Linked DNA regions of Kluyveromyces lactis. The protein of the gene in region 3 interacts with the protein of the main gene of each other region in a pairwise test. Links are inferred from orthologs where the notes say so. Each region holds a gene or a part of one and is shown on either strand. Other genes may lie near its edges.

What was found.
Region 1: the proteins of SEC2 (region 3) and ATG1 interact in a two-hybrid assay, tested with the Saccharomyces cerevisiae proteins (2 studies listed by BioGRID). The link is inferred for Kluyveromyces lactis from reciprocal best matches to the Saccharomyces cerevisiae genes SEC2 and ATG1.
Region 2: the proteins of SEC2 (region 3) and MET4 interact in a two-hybrid assay, tested with the Saccharomyces cerevisiae proteins (2 studies listed by BioGRID). The link is inferred for Kluyveromyces lactis from reciprocal best matches to the Saccharomyces cerevisiae genes SEC2 and MET4.

Annotation. Positions count from the first base shown.
Region 1 is NC_006039.1:1,497,428-1,502,076, reverse strand, and holds ATG1 (serine/threonine protein kinase ATG1), read right to left. Parts: upstream 3,119-4,649; coding exon 623-3,118; downstream 1-622. Other genes in the region: KLLA0_C17182g (uncharacterized protein), read left to right, coding at 1-344; GTS1 (Gts1p), read right to left, coding at 3,681-4,649. UniProt on the Saccharomyces cerevisiae protein: Serine/threonine protein kinase involved in the cytoplasm to vacuole transport (Cvt) and found to be essential in autophagy, where it is required for the formation of autophagosomes.
Region 2 is NC_006039.1:1,125,106-1,129,685, reverse strand, and holds MET4 (Met4p), read right to left. Parts: upstream 2,948-4,580; coding exon 818-2,947; downstream 1-817. Other genes in the region: SNAP receptor VAM3, read left to right, coding at 1-666. UniProt on the Saccharomyces cerevisiae protein: Positive trans-acting factor capable of stimulating the transcription of the MET genes from the methionine biosynthetic pathway. MET4, MET28 and CBF1 are required for full induction of MET25 and MET16 gene transcription.
Region 3 is NC_006039.1:193,638-197,849, reverse strand, and holds SEC2 (guanine nucleotide exchange factor SEC2), read left to right. Parts: upstream 1-1,606; coding exon 1,607-3,583; downstream 3,584-4,212. Other genes in the region: formin BNI1, read left to right, coding at 1-1,317; AVT2 (Avt2p), read left to right, coding at 3,846-4,212. UniProt on the Saccharomyces cerevisiae protein: Guanine nucleotide exchange factor for SEC4, catalyzing the dissociation of GDP from SEC4 and also potently promoting binding of GTP. Activation of SEC4 by SEC2 is needed for the directed transport of vesicles to sites of exocytosis.

The DNA.
Region 1 (4,649 bases), about 1.3 Mb from region 3:
TCCCTGAAAGACAAGCAAAGGGTTTTGCAGATATCAGAGTTTCGAGGTTAGAAAAGGAAGAACTTCTTAAGGCAGGGCAAGATAAGAGGACAGGAGATTTACTTGCAGAAAGGGTAAAGAAGTTCAAGAAGTTCATCGATGACAAACGGAAAAACACTGATAAAGAATTGAAGGAATTGGACGAAAAAATGAAAACGCTCGAGAATGAGCTTAAAAATGAAGCAGAAAAACGCAGAAAGGCAGAAAAAGAACAAAAGAAGAAGGAAGAAGAGAATCAACGGAGGATTCAGGAAGAACAACAACGTACAAACCAAGGCTCCAATAGTACTATAGAGGTCCTTTGAGCGACATTTGAGTTATTTTGTCAAAAGTTGAAACGCTTTATATTTGCATCTCCCGTTTTGTTTCGTATTTGAAGTTTGGAAATTTTTAATTTGGTATTTAATTTATTATAATAAGTCATTCTATTCATAGATATAATCTTATTTTACTACTAAACGATATCGGTATCGTTTCAAAAAAAAAGTAGTAAGTGTTTAATGGAAAAAACCCTAATCCATATATATATAATCATTATATAAAATGTAAATTGTAAAAAACCCAATCCAAAAGATGATCAATCCTAAACCATTTTGGATTTTAGTGCCTTTAACCTATTAGCAATACTTGAAATGTATTTCTTTATCATTTCCTTATCTGATTCGTCTAAGGAGGTGATATTTGATGCATACTCGTCATCATAGACTTCGTTGAATTGAAAATTTTCGTCCAGCAAAATTTCTAACATCCATAATGAAGTAGCATAGGCTAGTTCACAAGTATTGTAATTCCCACTTTCCATTTCCATTCTTGCAGCATTTCTAGATATATCTAAAGCACGATCGTATATTAACTTTTCAACAAAAATTACAGGGTCATCATCTGACCATTGGGAATTTGGTGATGTATTAATAGCATGGAGCTTTAAACGCAAAAATTCAGCCTTGTCTAAGCATTCGTTAAAGCGATCTCTAATCCACTGCACCAAAATGTTTAGCTTCAAAGTGCAGTTTTTACTTTCATTTTCATACCACCATTTTGATGTTAATTTCATTGAAGCAGCTAAAATAGTAAGAGCTTTTAGATAAAGAAGTAAAGATTCGGTGCACAACTTTTTCAACTCGGGGGCCGGTATTTGAGTGTCAACATTGGTGGCTGATGAAATCTTTGTTGTTGCTGAGGTCAAAGTTTGATTAGAAGGTGGGCGGCCTTGATCCAAATCTTCTTCATCCTCTATCGCGCAACTTCCGTTACTTAGACGTTTATCTGACAGTGGGTCATAGTCGGTTGAAGAAGGAGGAGTTGGAAGAATTTGAGAGAATTTCATTTCAGCGAACGAATACATGACAAATGCTTTGGCCGCAAGCGATTCCACTGCAGGAGTTATGTTGGAATCCAACATTTGTTCGCTGAAAGGATTTAGTTTATGATCAGCCCTCAATACTGCATTTTCCGTTAGCTCCTGAAATATCTGAGGATTCAGTAGTGTTTGTTGAGGTGGCGAAGAAGTAGCCTTTGTATTATGTTGATATCCGAAAAGCCTTACAGAAGCTAACCCTAGTGCCTTCGATAACGCATTCGACGGGCTTAATGACGATATCGAAAGCCTTCTCTCCACTAAAGAGGCTCTTCTTCCTCCTGATGCATCGCTAGAAGAAGACGTTCTGTATCTCAAGGGTTTTATAACTTGTGCCCCTTGGTTGTTTGTTATGGGTCCATTATTAGCAAAATCATCAGCCAAAGAATTTACTTCGACAGTTTTCTTCTCCACAACAACATACTCCTTCTCCAAAATCAAATCATTGTAAGAGCTCTTTAGCCTCTTCTGACTTGCAGATTGGTAGCTTTGTTCTGGGTTTTGAGAGTTATCTTCTGGGTGGATCTGTTGATGTGGTGGATGGTTTGTTGCGAGCCTCTCTTTACCTGAGGTTCGCCTAACGCCAGTTTGTACACTAGTGTTCTCGTCAGTTTGAGTTGGTGGTATATGTGCAGATTCCTGCTGCTTTAATGGTTTGACTAGATATTCTGAAACAAACATATTACTTTCAGCGACATCTTTACTCTTGGATTCTAAGTCTGGCTCATACGATTGCTCGTACCTTGTCAAATCTTCTGTCACTACTTCGTTATTGAAAAAATCAGTGAACCCCATACGGGAATCCGGGTCAAAAGTTAGCAACCCTCTTATTAGATTGAACAGTTTCGGTTCAATATAGCAATTTGAGGGCACTGTAATCTCATCGTTGGCCTTTTTAATCTTTTGAAACAACTCGAGATGGTTTGATGCTTTAAAAGGCGGTCTCCCGCAACACATTTCGTATAGCACCGTTCCTACTGACCAAAGATCAGCCTTGGCATTGTATTTTTGATAGTTTAATATTTCTGGAGCCATGTACAATGGTGACCCGCATAAAGTTTCTGCTAGAGAAGTATTAGGCAAGAATCTAGCGAACCCAAAATCCGCGATTTTCAAGATGGGTAAATTGTAGATTCCCACAAACCCCAACTCATGAAACGTCTTCGGATCATTATAATCTAATAACGGTGTGCATAACAATAAATTCTGTGGCTTGATATCTCTGTGTACTAGATTCTTAGATCGCAAAAACTTAAGCGCAGAGGATAGTTGTTGTAAATAGTTTACCACAAGAACCCGATTTAATCCATTATGTTCCGTACTTGGTGGCGGGTAATGTTCAAAAACAGTCTTTATCAAAGGATGCTTGAGCACTAGGTTCTTCCTCTTCTTTATGAAAAACGTTAAATCACCTAGTGCACAGTATTCCATGATCAAATAGAAATCAGATGAAGTCCGCTCACAATCTATTAACCCCACAATATGCGGATGTTTGATCTTCTTTAAAATGGCAATTTCGACCTCCAAATTCTCCAAAAGCTTCTTGTTCTTTAGCTTCGACCTCGACACGGCCTTGATAGCTATGTTTCTCCCATCTCTTAACGATAGACCTTTGTAAACAACCGCGAATGAACCCTTACCGATCTCCTTCTCCACGGAATAGTTTTCTGTCGGCAAACGAATGGCTTTCGCCACAACTTTGTCGTGCGATTCTGAACTCATGCTCAACCGCTTTCCATATGACTACTCAGTGCCAGACCGTTGTCATTCTTTGGCCTCTTTCTTTACAAGGGGGGGCGTTCTTATTTCTTATAAATGGTTTTTAAGGATCAAAACTTAGTTTGTAATAAGTCATTTTGAACTTTATATAGAAATAAAGAAACAAAGAAGGAAAGACAGATATATCGCAGAAAACGTACACAGTAAAGGCAGTGGAAAGACACTGGTGCTTGGTGGAACGGTTTTAAGAAAACGCTCGTTAAGTGCAAATAAGATATGATTGGTTATGAGTCAATGGGAGGTTTTTTTTTTGATGGTCAGTAAGATAATAGTGGTGATAGCTAGGTAGTAAGTAGATCGTGGATGTTCCGGATAAGAGTGTATAGCAGACGTTGTGAAACGTCAGAGGAGGAAGACAAAGTTAGATATTAGTTGTAGCGGTGTTTTGGTTTTAGCCATATTTACGTATTATATAGGCAAACATAGGTATGAGAGATTAAACCGTAGTGCGGTAGCAGATGTGCAGTTGCAGCTGCAGCTGCAAAGAAGGCCAAGGGATGATGATCTATTGGAATGGGGGGTAGAATTGTTGTTGGTACTGTTGTGGTTGTTGGTATTGCATTTGTTGTAACTGTTGTTGCTGCAGGAGCTGTTGCTGTTGCTGCTGTTGTAGCTGCTGTTGTTGTAGCAGTTGCTGTTGCTGCTGTTGTTGGTCCTGCTGTTGTTTTTGGAGATTCAGGATCTGTTGGTATTGTGGATTATCCGGTTTGATTTCTACGGCACTAGAATATAAATCTGGTCTTTGATACAGTGATAATAGTGTGTTCTTATCTATCGATGGTTGAGCAGTGAATTGAGGCTGTACCTGTTGGGTGAACTGAGGTTGTAATTGCTGTGTGAATTGGGGTTGCACTTGTTGTGTAAACTGAGGTTGAACCTGTTGTGTAAACTGAGGTTGAACTTGTTGTGCCAATGCTTGTACCTGGGCCTGCTGCATTGCCGCATAGGAGTTTTGATCTACATAAATTTGGCCGGTAGTTGGATCATAGTATTGTTGTACCCCATCGAATACTGCTGGGCGAGGTTCTGCCGATGCTGTACTAGGTAGGCTTGGTTCACTTGTTCCATCGAAAACGGCTTCTTGCACTTTGTTGTCCGGCCTTTTTGGAAGCGGAGGTCTGTCTCCTTCTCTTGATCTTGGTCTACTGCTGGCAGATGAGGCAGAACGGTTTCTTCTGGACCCGGACGCAGATGATGGGCGGGATGACTTGTAGTCCAATTGTGACGAATCATCCTCTAGATTGAAATCTTCCACCTTGACAGCGGTATGTCTGAACTTACCCTTTAAATATTTATCCCTGATAAACATTTCAACGGCAGTACGATCCTCGTCACCGTCAAATGGGAAAGGTTCTTTCTTAGGGTTCCAAAAACTGCTGTTATGTTTGTTTCCTCCAAGATCGGCAACAGTTTGAACGTCACGCTTAGACCATCTATCAAGAGATAAAGATTTCACGATACTAGTAGCACCATC
Region 2 (4,580 bases), about 930 kb from region 3:
CATCTAATAGGGACAAGCAAGGACGGACAACTATTGAGGGTTGATATAAAAAATAGAGTAATCCCCGAAATCCAGAAAATTAGTCGAAAACTGGCTGACTTAACTTCGCTAGATACACAAGATAAATTTGCTCGAGATTTTCAAGCGTTAAGCAAACAATATAACAGTGTAAAGACCGATTATGAGAATAGGGCAGTACAGAATCCCATACCTGACGAAGAGAGTAAAGATAATGAATCGGAACATCTCGTATCGCAATATGAAAGCATGCCAATACAAGACGATATCGAGAGGAGGGATCATTCTTCAGAGGATACTCCGTTACTTTTGTCTACCCAACAGCAAGAGCCTTTGTTGAATCAGGATGAGTTAGATTTTCACACGATAATTCAACATGAAAGATCCCAGGACATATCAAAAATCCACTCTGCTGTGCAAGAGGTCAATGCCATCTTCAAACAACTAGGAAGTCTGGTACAGGAACAGGGCGAACAAGTTGACACAATTGGCGAAAATGTGACAGGATTATCTAATAATTTGCAAAAGGCGAACAAAGAACTTCACAAAGCAAATGAATATCAAAGGAAAAAGAACAGATGTGGTACAATACTTCTAGTAGCTATTGTTGTTATCACTCTAATAACTCTTATCGCGATTCTATCATAGGGTTAGATTCTACGAGGAATGTAACTATATATTAATACAAAATTTATCTCTGGCCTTATACTTGGATGAAAGTTACGTTACGTTTTAGAGAACACGCATCATCAGGTAAATATGTCCGACTTAGAGGTTACAACTAATTATTAATCATAGCTTACTTGTCAGTATCCTTTTTAGTGCTTTCGGAGGAGTTATTTTTGGATAGTTCATAAGACTCAACATTCTTGAGATCTCCACGTTCAATGACAAGATTTTTGAGAAGTCTGTTTTCCATTTCAAGGGTATTGATTCTTTGCTTCAAGTCACAAGCTAACTGTGAAAGATCTTGGACCCAAGTTTCCATTTCTTTCTCTTTAAGTTTTTTAGTTTGATCCAAGTTCGGCAGTTTGGGTCTTGAAGAAAGGGTTGAGGAAGTGGACGACGATTCTACACCATCACTGGAGGAATTGTTTTTATCAGAATCAGTATTATGCTTTTTTTCGTTTATCTTCTCATCGAGACTCTTAGCAGCATTTTCCTTGTCATTGAGAAGTTCTTCCGATTGTCTCACCTCTTCCTTCAATTTAGCAGACGTTACATCCTTCCTAAGAGAGGAAGCTGATTCTAGTTTCCTGACAACTGATTTTGGTGTTTTACTGATACCATCATCCAGTGTTTGCTTTGCAGAATTCTCTTCGCTTTCTTTCTTTATGTTGTTAGAAATTGAGCCGTGGTGCACTTTCGGTGAGTTTTTCATATATGTATCAATAACTCTAGACTCTTTTTCCACTGGAGTTTTTTTGGCTCTTTTTGGATTAGGTTTATGGACACTTGATTGAGGAGATGGCTCAGGTTTTTCATGCAAAAAATCCAATAGCATGCCAACGGAGCTTTGAATATGTTCTTGAGGTTCAGGAACCAGTTGATTTTGCGAATTCACATCTATCGATGAGCCCAGATGGGAAGCTGACGATGGTGGTCTATTTGTAGAGTGATTATTTAAATTAGTTGGCTTCCTCACAGGAGGATCAAACTTTTCTCTTTCTCTTTCATAATAAGCCATAATAGCAGCTATGGCGTCAATCTGTTCTGGTTTAAAGCCAACATTACGCAAAGACTGGTAAGCACCTCTGGGAACATTAATGATAGGCAACAATGATACCAAAGTCGCAGTTTGTATTGTAGAGTAGTCTGGCATCTGTATATTTGATTCAAATCCTGATGTTGCAGCCGTACTTGGACGATACGGATTTTCGTTGCTATTGACATGATTATTACCATGGTTACTAGCTGTGTTGACGATTGAAGAGGCAGACGATACAGTGGTATTGGACGGATATGACATTGAAGTTAAATCATATGCGGCTAATAAATTTGTTAGTGGGGAAGTGGCAAACGGCATATCTCGTTGGCGGTTTGCACTTGTGCCATTTAGGTTGCCTGTATTATGACTATTGGATTGGTCTTGAACATCAAAGTGTGTAAATCCTCCATGATCGGGGATCGGAGAATTCTGTGTCGATGACCTTTTCCTCGAAAACCGTTGCCGCGTATGATCATACTGGTTTCCCAGCAGGTTTGATTTTCTATCGAACAAGTTTCTCTTTTCCGAAGAGTTTCTGTTATTATTATTATTATTATTATTATTATTATTATTATTGTTATTATTACTATTATGATTGTTACCACTGTTATTATTATTGTTATTGTCGATGTTATTATCATTAGTACTAGGATTAGCATTGTTGTTCAATCCGAAGTTATGGTTGCTGTTGTAATGGTCGCCGTTGTCATCGCTATCATGTCTATCAGCTTTGTCTTCATCTGGGAAAATAAAAGTCTCATCTGCGAAAACACTCAATTCCGCCGCTAAACGTTCATCCATCGCGAGCTGATTATCTGCACTTAAACCACCAACTTGATGATTCAAGGGCATCCCACTAAATGAATTTACAGTGTCACCATGAGGTCCCTCATTGTTGTAAAAAGAATTTGTCACATTGGGTCCAAAGTCAGAGTTAAAATCAGTAATAAAATTATCAACAAACGCTAGTTGTTCCAAAAGAATGCTAGGGGTAACATCATTATTCACATCAGCAGGGGGGTTAATCAACGAATGTAAGTGATTCGATGCGGTAGATGGAGAATGTGTCGAGAATTCCGGACTGTTCCCCCAAATGTTGTCCATACCTTGACTGGGATGACTATCATTAGGATTTCGAATATGATTATCCATATTCCTTGCACCAACACCGCTACTGCTGCTACCAGTGCGCTTAAGATTATTGGAAGTTCCACTATTCATAGCGGAAAGAATGAGAGAAGCCGGCTCGATAAATAAAGATTCACTGTCGTTATTCCCTGGAACTAAGGCTCAAATTTGAATGTGGCCTTTCACTCGATGCTGTTGATATCAACAGTAGACGATGATTGAAAATACTTTAGTTTGTATTATTCTTCAGCTCAGGTCTCGTGCAATTTCATCAAAAGTCGGGAAAAAAATGAGGAAAGGGAAAAGAAGAAGAAAAAAGTAATCACCAAACTGTGGAACGTCTATTACCCGGACAAGAAAATTACCCGGATACAGACATTACATCAGCCACAGTACAAACTGCACGTGATACGAAGCACGTGATTTGTGTTCCCTCGTGTTGTTCGCTTTTTTCTTTTCTTGCTTTCCTCCGGTTTCTGCGATCACCCGCGGAAAAATGTTTATTTATCCATCAGTATTAGTGCCTACATTCTCATTTCTCGAGTCAGTAAGCAACCCCGCATTTTATTGCTGGAGTGTTACCGCGTAGATGCTCTCACACAGATAGAAAAGCTCGCTGATCTAAAGAATGATTATACATATCGTAAAGAGAAAAAACAGCACACTAGTGACAGTTTGAAAATCCAGCACAGCAAGTAAACACTCATCCGATGCTCTCCCTATACCTGATCTTTCAGTACTAATGCCGACCGCCGGTTGCCGATCGCCGTTTGATTATTGTGTTTTGCTTGAGGTCGTTACCTGCGTTTGCCAAGTCTTTTTCTTCCTTCAAGATAAGGAGCTTGTAATCTAATCTTCAGAGATGAAAATCTGATAGATAGCGTAAACTAGGGAATCGACAAGACCCCATCGCAAATTATCGAGGACAAGAACAGGAGGTGCGATAAATATCTCCCGACTGACCTATGCATATCAAAAAAACTTTCTTGTCTCCTACCAGTTTGCTCTTACTGTTTCGTGAAATACGGATTAAAGTTTCCTTTTCCATGTTTCTTTTCCATTTTCCTGTGCTTTTCTTTTTTTTACAAAAAACTGGAAAGGAAAAATGAAAAAGAAACATAGTGAGGGTAAATACGGGTTGGTACGGGAAAAGAGCAGCAGAGACACAATTCTATTAGCAGGATAAAACGGCTACGATATTGCGGCTAGTAAAACACAATTTGATCATCTGTGTAAGTAAGAGCTATTGCTCCTTGCATAGATTACCTTGTTGCTCTATCTCCGTTCCTTCCTATCACCTGAGAATTTCCCTCCGTAGTTTTCTCGGTACACAGTTTACATAGCTTAAAGTTAGGTGGGTGTGTGAAATTTAATTTCTTTTTCAGTGTTTTCACAAAAGGTTTAATGTGTAAATTCAAAATTTAAAGCCAGAGTAACTGCTTCCTGTTTACAGTTGTCTCATAAACTCTCACTGTCTTTACTTCGATCTCAAGGTAGATATCAACAAACTTTTACTTATTCAGTAACTCTGCTCAACAAGGTTACTTCACTGAAAGATTTTCAGAAGGTATACTACTTTTTTTTTGAGGAAAAACCGTTTAGTGTTGACGAAAATAGTATGAAAGTCTTTTGAATATTGGAGTGACACTGACTTATACACGGAGAGAAAGAGATATAGATTATAGAAATAGTGTTCCCCCACCTCACGCATTGTATCATTCCCCTT
Region 3 (4,212 bases):
TCTCGTATGAGAGCAATCACTATGATAACTACTTATGAAAAAGACTATTCGGATTTGGTCACTAAACTAAGAAAAATTGATAGAGCAGTTCAGTGCATCGAACAATCTGAAAGTCTCAGACATGTTTTCGATGTTATTTTGGCAGTTGGTAATTATATGAATGATTCTTCAAAGCAAGCTCAGGGGTTCAAGCTAAGCACCCTACAAAGATTGACCTTCATTAAAGATGAAAAGAACAGTATGACTTTTTTGAACTATGTGGAAAAGATAATTCGTGAAAATTATCCCGAATACAGCCATTTCGTGGAAGAGCTTGAGCCTATTTTTAGCGTAACAAAAATATCCATCGAACAGTTGGTAACTGATTGTAAGGAATTTTCACAGTCAGTAATTAACGTTGAGCGTTCTATTGAAATTGGAAACCTAAGTGACCCTTCTAAATTCCATCCGTTAGATCGTGTTTTAAATAAGGTAGTACCGGTTTTACCTGAAGCTAGAAAGAAAGCTGATCTTCTAAGCGATGAAATCAAATTAAGTTTGCTGGAATTTGAAAATCTAATGAAGAAATTTGGCGAAGATGCCAACGACAAGTTCTCTAAAAACTCTTTCTTCCAAAAGTTTGCAGATTTCATTACCGAATTCAAGAAAGCTAAAACTCATAATGTCAAACTGGAAGAAGAAGAACGTGCTTACGAAAGGAGAAAGAAAATGATTGAAGATCAACAACGGAAACAACAGGAGGCAGATAGTAAGGCAACAGCAAAAAATTTAAGCACTTCGCAAGAACCGTCTGATGATAGGGACGATATAGAGAAGCTTTTGGATAAATTGAAAAATGCAGCTCCTTCAAAAGGAGATCCATCTAGTACTCGTAAACGTGCATTGGCTAGAAAGAAATTACTAGATGGTAAATCCGGGGCATCAATTTTTGATAACATCACTGCTGATAGTACTATCGAAGCTTTCGTGGAACAAAATAGAACGCTTACCGAATCGCCTACTGCTAAAAAATCGGCCAGCCTTCCTGAAACTGAAAGCTTGTCGTCATCAAAACAAGACCCTGCAGATAGAGCAAGGAATTTATTACTAGAATTAAGAGGCCCTGACGAAAGAAAAGACGCTTCTCCATCCCCAATCAAAGCAAAGGACAAGCTTAGGGATCTGAAAAAAAAAGATTCTTCTGTGAAAGTAGACCAACCTAATAAACTACAATTTGTTGGAAGCCTAGAAGTTGGACCTCATCCTAAACCGTTATCGCCAACCCAAGATTTGATGGACACATCGAACTCATCGGAAGATGAGTTTATTGATGCTTAAAGACTACATAATACTCATTTCAGCATTTATTTAATAACTACAATATGTGTATACTTGCATAGACATAATTCGTATACCGAAATTGACATTTTCATTTTAAAACCGGGTAATGAATTTAGTTCCAATGTTTGATGAAATCAAGAATGTAATATATATCAACCAAATTACCAGAGGACTAATGAAATACATAAATACTCGCCTGTGTAATTTACTTCAATAAATGAATCACTGATTTTGCTAACAGAAAGTACTTGCTACAAGCAAAGCTGACGGTAGCCTTATTTTTAGAATGGCGGATCAAGAAGAGTCAAAGCGCATATCTTTGCAAGTGACATCTTTATCTACGCAATTAATCGAAAGCATTGATAAACAATCCCAATTAGAAGAACAGTTACTAGTGGCTAAGAAAACCATTTCCACTCAGCAGAATATTGCGAACTCATATAATGAATTGAAGCAGGAACTACAATCTTTGAAATTACAATACGAAACCGATAAGACAAAATTCAAGAAACAGGAAGAAATTTGTGCTGATGCCGAAAAGAAAGTGGCTACATTGAACCAAGAAATTGAAGACTTAACCGCTTCTTTATTCGATGAGGCTAATAACATGGTAGCAGATGCAAGGAAAGAACAAAATGCTGTAGAAATATTAAACTCGAAGCTCAAAGAGCAGTTGAAAGAAAAGGATTTATTACTTGATACATTGTCAATGCAGTTAAAGAATCTCAAAAACGTACTCTACAAGTTCGAAAATGATTTCAATTCTTCGAAGAACGTTTCACTTTCAGATTCTGCGACGTCCTCTACCACATCAATTGATAGATCAACCACCAACCTAACCTCAGTAAATGATAATTCATTGTCGTTTCAAGGCGTGTTATTTTCCCCTCTTCTGCATTCGTTAAGGTATGACGTTCCTCTATACACAGAATATTTGAAATTTCTTGCTGTGCTACCACAATGCGAAAACCTTCAACAAACCACTTCGGAATCGAAACTATTAAGGAGATTAATAAACTATGAAATAAGTCCCGTCTTGCGACTTGATAATGCCTCCGGAGTAGGATGGCTTGTAAAAAGAAATTTAATGAATTTAATGATGGAAGGACTGGTATCAATCGAGCCGATTAGTGGAATAAATGAAACATATCGTACAGGATATAGTTCTCCAAGTATTCCCGACTCTCCAGAGGTCGAAAACAAAGATTCTCATTTGTTTAGCCGTCCGGTGAATTCTCCGCCTGTTGCTATGGTAGAACCATGTGCTTTCTGTGGTGAAAATAGAAACGACATCCTTGAACATGGAAGACTTTATATCTTCAAAACATATCAAAAGCTCGAAAATGGTAAAAATGAGTTAACAAATCAATTTCCCGTGTGCCATTACTGCTTGTTGAAATTAAGACAAGTTTGTGAAATTTTCGCATTTTTGAGATCATTGAGATCTGGTGCTTGGCATCTAGAAAAAGTAGCTTTGGCATCAATACATCAAGGCAAGGTCAATGCTTACTCCGAGGTAACTAAAGCATCAAGGCCGAAAATGAAATCCAAAAGATTAAGTATTTTCCAAGGATTAAAGCAATCGCAATCTTCAACTCCTATCATAGAAAATGGTCCACAATTTGCCGACAAAAACGGACTACCAACAACCAATATCCAGAGGTCATGGGCCCGTCTTTCACAACTACGAGCATCTTTACAATGGTCGCATATTGGCGTATGGTCTCTCGACGAATCGGTAGCTACAGATATTGCCCCATCAACAGATATTTCCAAAGCTAAAAGTTTTGAAGAAGAACAAGGTCTAGGCATTGCCTCAAACAATATCCCTGTCCCTATAACACATGAGGAGGATGAAACTTTCGATTTTGAAGCGGATACCGCAAACTCTATCAGTGTGGATGAAACAGTCAATGGTATACGTCACACAGATCAATCATCGGATGATATTGGCGATCATAATGAGAAAACTAATGAGAAGACTGCCACGGATTTACAAGGAAAGAATGAAGAGAAAAAAAGCAAAAAAATTGAACCACAGCATTCAAGACAGCCCTCACAATCATCCACAGTATTAAATGATAACAAAGAAAGTGCCGAATCAGCTCATGATACCCATGCATCATCTGAAGAGCCAAGTGATTTATTGGAAACTTATCAAGATCTGTCCGCTGATCTTGAACCCGAATCTGAAAAGCCTGAAAATTTGGATAATTCTGATGAAGAGGATAGTTTTAACGATGCAAAGGATGTCGTCAACTAGTGTCATGCACAATCTTTCCTCCTACCTTGCATACTTTGTAACAATAAATACCTGATGTAGAGAGTTTCATTTCAATGCACGTGATTTGTCAAATTTCGTCATCCTTATCATACCCAAAAGACTAAGCACCAAATTTATATATTGCAAGTATTTCTTCTTGCCTTAGATAAAACAATATGGCTGTAAGAAGGTTGTAGTAGCAAACGGAGCGCACGATAGTTGAACCGCTTATGGCCTACTTTGTGAATTATAATTAATACAGATGCAGATAGCCGCTGATAAAAAGTATGCAAAACTAGCTCTGTCTGATAAACAATCGAAGAATGAACCAAATCCGTTTGAACTGGAGTTAACGTCATTTGATGACACCGCGAAGACAGCTGACAGCGCAGTTGACCAAAACATTTTTAATGTTAATGAAGAAGACCCATTAACAGATGACATCTATTTATCTAATGAGGCAAAATCTAACAGGTACATGGCTTTCATGAACATGGCGAATAGTATTTTAGGATCAGGAGTGATAGGGCAACCTTTTGCGATGAAAAATTGCGGAATCATCGGCGGATTATTTGCGACCATATTAATGTCCATACTGGTTGATTGGACCATTCGTCTGATTGTGATCA